2 linked regions of the Rattus norvegicus genome follow. The protein of the gene in region 2 purifies or fractionates together with the protein of the main gene of each other region. This does not show direct contact. Links are inferred from orthologs where the notes say so. Each region holds a gene or a part of one and is shown on either strand. Other genes may lie near its edges.

What was found.
Region 1: the proteins of Tulp4 (region 2) and Cul5 purify together in Homo sapiens (affinity purification with mass spectrometry; 4 studies listed by BioGRID and IntAct, counting the BioPlex papers as one, with this or other methods). This does not show direct contact. The link is inferred for Rattus norvegicus from reciprocal best matches to the Homo sapiens genes TULP4 and CUL5.

Annotation. Positions count from the first base shown.
Region 1 is NC_086026.1:62,941,917-62,945,735, reverse strand, and holds part of Cul5 (cullin-5), read left to right. Parts: intron 1-929; coding exon 930-1,106; intron 1,107-2,875; coding exon 2,876-3,017; intron 3,018-3,819. UniProt on the Homo sapiens protein: Core component of multiple cullin-5-RING E3 ubiquitin-protein ligase complexes (ECS complexes, also named CRL5 complexes), which mediate the ubiquitination and subsequent proteasomal degradation of target proteins.
Region 2 is NC_086019.1:49,209,725-49,213,543, forward strand, and holds part of Tulp4 (tubby-related protein 4), read left to right. Parts: coding exon 1-1,963; intron 1,964-3,819. UniProt on the Homo sapiens protein: May be a substrate-recognition component of a SCF-like ECS (Elongin-Cullin-SOCS-box protein) E3 ubiquitin ligase complex which mediates the ubiquitination and subsequent proteasomal degradation of target proteins.

The sequences.
Region 1 (3,819 bases), on a different chromosome or scaffold from region 2:
CCAAGTGAGCATAATTAAATATGTATTACTCAGGGCTGATTTCCTCTTGGAAAAATTATCTCATATTCCTAAGGAAAACATCCTAGAAAGGTGTTTGTGGGACCTACAAGATTTCATCAGGTCTAGGCTTGTAATGGCAACATTCTGTGTGGTTAAAGCTGGTCACAAAATCAGCCCAGTGTGAGCAGTGGGAAAATCGAGGACCACCTTTAAGTGAAGTCTAAGATAGCATGTTTAAGCTCTAGGTATAACTTCAGCACCAATTCCATCCCTGCAAAGAGAAATACTTTACCTGTCATAAGATTTACTTTTAACTGGCTGCAGTAGGGCATACCTTTTTAATCCCAGTACTCAGGAGGCAGAGGCAGGCTGGTGGCTGTGTTGGAAGCCAACTGCCTCATGTATGAGCTCCAGGCCAGCTCAGGGGTACCCTGGCTCAAAAAGGGAGTGAGGAAGACAAACAAAAACTTAGAAACAAAACACTTCCCTCAAGTATATGCTGGAGAGGGTTAGTAGCCTCAACCACTAACTGTAGAGTATTTTCACCACCCTCTGAAGAAACATTGTACTGTTAACAGGCAAACACTCCCTGTTACTTCTCAAACCCTGTTCACCATTACACGTGAATTTTCTACCTCTGAGTTTGTCTGCTCTTGGGTTTCATAAACTGATTGATCTTTTATGAGCAGTCTTTACTTGGGATAGTAAATGTTTTCATGCCTGGTTTACATTTCCTACTTTTGATTGTTTTAGACAATGTGGCTATGAACATTTATGTACAGAATATTTATTAGGACATGTGCTTGGTTTCTCTTAAATATAGTATTTGTACAACAAATCATGTTTTAAAATTGTCGCTTGACTGCATACTGTCCTTATTCATCAAAGCATTTAGGTTCATTCCAAGCTGATACAGTTTTGTTTTTCAGCGCGTACTGAGCCATCAAGATGACACAGCTTTGCTAAAGGCATATATTGTTGAATGGCGAAAATTCTTCACCCAGTGCGATATTTTACCAAAACCTTTTTGTCAACTAGAGGTGACTTTATTGGGTAAACAAAGCAGCAATAAAAAATCAAATATGGAAGACAGTATTGTTCGAAAGGTATGTGTCTTACCCCATTGTTTCCTGATGTCTCTTAATGCCCTAAATGTCTTTAGGAAGGTGTTCATTATGATTTATGTAGGTCTTGCTAATCACAGGCAGACCCTTTTTTTTAAAGATTTATTTATTCTATATACACTGTCGCTGCAGACACACCAGAAGAGGGCATCAGATCCCATTACAGATGGTTGTGAGCCACCATGTGGTTGCTGGGAATTGAACTCAGGACCTCAGGAAGAACAGTCAGTGCTCTTAACCGCTGAGCCATCCCTCCAGCCCGCATGCAGTCTCTTTATAGCTGTTAGGTTTGTTTTTTATGAAACTTTTTCTTGCACTCATACATTTTAGCTTCAGCATTCTTTATCTTTGTATGTTCTCTTAAACTATAAGTGTTTTCAAACATAACCTCAATTTTCCTTTTTGGCTTTTTCCAGTTTTATCTTCAGTATCTTTTGTGCTATTTCTTTATACTTTATCTTCTTGTGAATTAATTACTCATTTTTTCTTTGAATACTCATTTCTTCTAACTTTAATTGTGCTAAGCAGCTGTCATCTTTATAGTTAGTCTAGTCATGTTTGTCACAAGGTTTCTTTCAACTATAAATTATTTTTTTTAAATATCTATACCTATTTACCAATTACCTACCTACTAGTGAGAAATGAATGGAAGCGTGTGAGCGCATACATGCTGCATAAGCTCTACCACTGAGCTCAGCCTCTTCAAAAGGTGAAAAACAAAACCTGCCATTTGAATTACAAAAACCCTGCTGTGATGGTTAGGTTAGAAGATCAATACCAGAATTGTCTGGGTGTTACCATCCCATCCTACTCTTGAAATTTGCTTTATGCAAGATACTATAACATTAGATATACATGGTATTTCAGTGCTAGAATTTGCTACAAATTGAAACATTTCTTTTTAAAGGGAAAAAGCCTTTGAAGATGCAAGCCCATAATCTTACCCTCTTGGTTTTTTTGTTATTCCTTTTTTTTTTTTTTCTATTTTTTTTAAATTTACTGTGAGGCTTACTGGTTTATGTGAGCATTGTTTCTGGGATGATATTTGTTGGGTTCAGATGTGGACATGTTAGTGTTGCCTGCTAGGCCCCAACTCTCACCATAGAAAGAGAAGTGGTATTCCTACTTCAGGACTGTTGGTGTTGCATTAATTATCTGTGGAAACACACGGTGCAGTCCAGGGTATGTTGTGAGAGTCACAGAATTAACTGTTGTCACCGCTCTCCCTGTTACCAACAGAGCGACTTGGAGCATTGGTCTTGGTTGCCAGTGTGTATTCTTTATTTCTATAACTTTGATAATCATGTGGTGGAAGATGTATACATTTTTATTGCAACTAGCACAGACATGCATGTGAGCGTCTTAGAACCACTAGAAATTTGCCTCTTAGTATTTTGCATGTGGGAAAGGAAATAAATAGAGCTAGAAACCAAATTGTATTCTGAAGAAAAAGTTTTTTTTGTTTTTTGGGGTTTTTTGAGATAAAGTCTCTGTATATTCCTGCTATCCTGAAGCTCACTATGTAGACCAAGCTGGCCTCAAACTCCTGCCTCTGAGTGCTCAGATTAAAGGTGTGTCATCATGTTGGCCCTAGTTCTTTACTATTGGCTAATAAAATGTGACTTCCTAAAGGACCCAACACTGCTGATACAGTAGTAGGATTTCCTTTTCTCCATTTGTCCTGAACCTTGTGTGTATGGTACTTGAGATGTTAATCACTGCAAATGATGCTGTATTTTCTTACTTCCTAGCTCATGCTTGATACGTGGAATGAGTCGATTTTTTCGAATATAAAGAACAGACTCCAGGATAGTGCAATGAAGCTGGTGCATGCTGAGAGATTAGGGGAAGCTTTTGATTCCCAGCTGGTCATAGGAGTGCGAGAGTCCTATGGTATGTTCTCAACTCTTATAATCGCATTTCCATTCTGCAAATCTTAGGATATTATGATTTGGTCAGACTCCCACCTTCTTCCTGTGCCATACACTTTTTAGTTTCAACATTATACAAATGATATTGACTCTGTGTCAGAGAAAACTGCTAAATTCAAATGTATTTTTCATATTTTCTCTTTATTAACTTCTTGGTTAACTACTCTCTGGTATCCTAAACCAGAGAACTATACATTGCAACCTACAACTCCTAAAAGGAAACGTTGTTTTATATAGATGTTTTCAGAAGTTAGGTTTCTGTGCAGATTCTCTGCCTTCTCAGATTCTAATAATGCTTCATCCTGTTTACTCAAATACCTTGTCTCCTCTGACTTAGAGAGCGCTTCCTAACCTTCAAGCTCATCCGCGTGCCTCATTTCACCCTTCCTACTTCTCAAAGGTCTTACTGATGCTTCATTTCACTGAATTAGTATGCCTAACACAAAGTAAACTTCAGTAGATGTATTTGTTGGAGTAAGCGAACTTTTAGTTATTTTTTAATTGTTTTTATCCTATTTTGATTGTTTTAATTAAAGTCTTTAGACTTTCTTTACTATTATCATTGAAAGTGTTCTTTTTATTTCATTTGCTGTTGGTCTAGACCTCTTTAAATTCTACACCCAGACTTTTGAAATCATCCTCTTACAGTTAATTTTTTTTTTCCAGTACTGGAAATTAAACCTAGCGCCTGATATGTGCTATGTCTAAGCTCTGCTAATAAACTATATCCTTAACCCCCTTTTTTCCACTTTATTTTGTTTTTA
Region 2 (3,819 bases):
ACCCCCTCTGCCACCACCACAGCCCCCAGTGGATGTGTGTTTGAAGAAGGGTGACTTCTCACTGTACCCTACAGCAGCACATTACCAGCCTCCACTAGGCTATGAGAGGATAACCACCTTTGACAGCAGTGGCAATGTGGAAGAGGTGTGCCGGCCTCGCACTCGGATGCTCTGTTCCCAGAACACCTACACTCTTCCTGGCCCAGGCAGTTCTGCCACCTTGAGACTCACAGCCACTGAGAAGAAGGTCCCCCAACCCTGTACCAGTGCCACTCTGAACCGACTAACTGTCCCTCGATATTCCATCCCCACAGGGGACCCACCTCCATACCCTGAAATCGCTAGCCAGCTGGCCCAGGGGCGGAATGCTACTCAAAGGCTGGATAACAGTCTCATCCATGCCACCCTACGAAGGAACAACCGAGAGGTTGCACTTAAGATGGCCCAGCTGGCTGACAGCTCCCGTGCCCCACTGCAGCCCCCAGCCAAGCCTAAGGGGGGCACTGGTGGGGCAGTGGCACAGCTCCCAGCAAGGCCTCCACCTGCCCTATACACCTGCAGCCAGTGCAGTGGAGCAGGGCCCAGCTCACAGTCAGGTGCAGCCCTGGCCCATGCTATCAGCACCTCCCCGCTGGCCTCCCAGTCCTCCTACAATCTTCTAAGCCCTCCTGACACCTCCCGTGATCGTACTGACTATGTCAACTCAGCCTTCACAGAGGACGAGGCCCTGTCTCAGCACTGTCAGCTTGAGAAACCTCTGCGGCATCCCCCACTTCCTGAAGCCACTGTCACCATGAAGCGGCCTCCCCCCTACCAGTGGGACCCCGTGCTGGGTGAGGACGTTTGGGTTCCCCAGGAAAGGACAGCACAGCCTACAGTGCCCAACCCCTTAAAACTGTCCCCTCTCATGATAGGGCAGGGCCAGCACCTGGATGTGGCTCGAGTGCCCTTTGTGTCTCCCAAGTCTCCATCCAGCCCTACTGCCACCTTCCAGACAGGCTATGGGATGGGAGTGCCATATCCAGGCAGCTATAATACCCCCTCTTTGCCTGGAGTCCAAGCTCCGTGTTCCCCTAAGGATGCCCTGTCCCCGGCACAGTTTGCACAACAGGAGTCTGCTGTCGTACTTCAGCCAGCATACCCACCCAGCCTTTCCTATTGCACCTTGCCCCCCACATACCCAGGAAGCAGCACATGCTCCAGTTTACAGCTGCCGCCCATCGCCTTGCACCCCTGGAATTCCTACAGCACCTGCCCGCCCATGCAGAATACCCAGGGCACTCTCCCCTCCAAGCCCCACTTAGTGGTGGAGAAGCCTCTCGTGTCCCCTCCACCTGCCGAGCTCCAAAGCCACATGGGCACAGAGGTGATGGTAGAGACTGCAGACAATTTCCAAGAAGTCCTCTCTCTGACAGAAAGCCCCGTGCCCCAGAGAACAGAGAAATTTGGAAAGAAGAACCGGAAGCGCCTTGATAGCCGAGCAGAGGAAGGGAGTGTTCAGGCCATCACTGAGGGCAAAGTAAGAAAGGATGCTAGGACTTTGAGCGACTTTAACTCGCTCATCGCCAGTCCCCGCCTGGGGAGAGAGAAGAAGAAAGTGAAAAGTCAGAAAGACCAACTGAAGTCAAAGAAGTTGAACAAGACAAACGAGTTCCAGGACAGCTCAGAGAGTGAGCCCGAGCTGTTCATCAGCGGGGATGAGCTGATGAACCAGAGCCAGGGCAGCAAGAAGGGGTGGAAAAGCAAGAGGAGCCTGCGGACGGCCAGCGAGCTGGAGGAATTCAAGGGCCGCAAAGCCAGTGAGAAGGAAGACGGGCGACTGGGCAGCCAGGGCTTCGTGTATGTGATGGCCAACAAGCAGCCTCTGTGGAATGAAGCCACCCAGGTGTACCAGCTAGACTTTGGAGGGAGGGTGACCCAGGAGTCTGCCAAGAACTTCCAGATCGAGTTGGAGGGACGGCAGGTAAGGAGACTGGCCTTCTCGTGTGCTTTAAATTCAAGTGATTCCTGAACCCTTAGGCAGATAGAGAGGGAAAGCACACCCCACGCATTCATCCCCTCACCACCTGTGTTTGAGTTGCAGGTGCCTCCTAGAGTTTGGGGCTTTCTAGTATCTGTCACTGTATTTGCAAAAACCCCTATTTTTATTTATTGATACTTCTAATTGAGCTGTCATATGTTGCCTTCCCCCTCTCTGACTCTAGTGGATTGTGCTGTCTGCTTCCTTCAGGAGCTGGCAGACTTAGTTACCTCAGTCCCTACCTTTCATTTCATGGCTTCGCTTCCTACCACCTTGACCCGAGACAATGCAGTCTGGACGGACTGACTGCACTGTATACAATACTCCTTCCCAGCTGTTCATTACGCGCTATGGAAGGACGCTATGTTGTCAACCCTGCTCCCTACCTCACTAGTAGACATGAGAGCGCCCCCACTTTCCCAGTTTAAGCAGTAGGTATTGGTGACTACCCATGTCACTGAAGGTCTTCGTTAGGGTGGTACTGCTGTGAAGAGACACCATAACTATTGCAACTCTTAGAAAAGGAAAACATTTCATGGGGCTGGCTTACAGTCTCAGAGGTTTAGTCCATTGTCATAGCAGAAAGCGTGACATCACACAGGCAGACATGGTGCTGGAGAAGGAGAGTTCTACATCTTGATCTGCAGGCAGAAAGAGACAGTGTGCCACACCAGGCTTAGCTTGAGCATCGGAGACCATGAAGCCCACCCTCACAGTGACACAGCCCCTCCAACAAGGCCACGTATCCCTCCCTACAGCCAAGCATCAAACCTGTCTACGGGGGAGGGGCTGGACCTTTCAGACCTCCACACTGAGAGTTTCATAGCTGTACCCGTTAGGAGTTTTTCCTAAATATTTTGTTTTAATTACCTAGTTATTGTTTGCTTATTTCTCGTTGTGTTTATTGCTAAGTCATCCTCAAGTTCTCTAGTAGAAGGCAAATCTCCTTGGTACAAATGAAGAACACAGATGACAAGACAGTGCTTGTCACAGCACGATGGCCTCTGTACCCCTGCCACCTCCATCCATTTTAAATTTCACTTTCACTCATCACATACTTGTGCTCCCTGCTGTGTGCCTGGCGGTTTCTAAGCCGAGAATTGGCAGACTGGCTTGCGCATCCGTGTCACCCTTCCTGTCTGTAAATAAAGCATTATTGATACGCAGTTCTGGCTAATAAATTCTACCGGTACTTCCCCCTCACAAGCAGAATTGAATGGTTCTGCAGAGTATCTGAGTTACAGGCTAAAATGTTTTCACAGCACTTTAGAAAGTCGCCAGCCCTTCCTCTAAGTGCAATCAAGACCTCTGAGTCGTGGAAGTAACTGTTAAGTGTATCTTTCAAAACAGGGAGGAAGCCACAAGGAAGTGGGCGTGCGTCCTATGCTGTGTGCTGCCATAATCTCATGTGTAGAGGCCACAGGAGGTGGGACAAGGAGGAGCACGTTGGGAAGGGGGGTGTGATGCTCTAGACAGTCACCAGGGACGCCTGCTCTGAGGCAGAGTTGGCACATCTCTGAGGTCTCTCAGTGTGGTATGGAGTCTTCTCTTTCTTCTCCCCAGAGAACACACTTTATCTTACCTGTGGCTCTCCATGTAAGCTCCTTGACCCCTTACACCATCGGCCATGATCTCTGTTTCCTGTAACCCTGTAGTCAGAGGTAGAGGCCCATTAGATTCAGTTACTTGAGTTTCTGGAACTCTGCTGGACTGTGCTCTCTGCTTCCTCGAAGTGGGCACACTACACTGGCTGCGGTCTCACTTTCTTTTCCTTTCTTGTGTTTGCTCCCTCCCCCTCC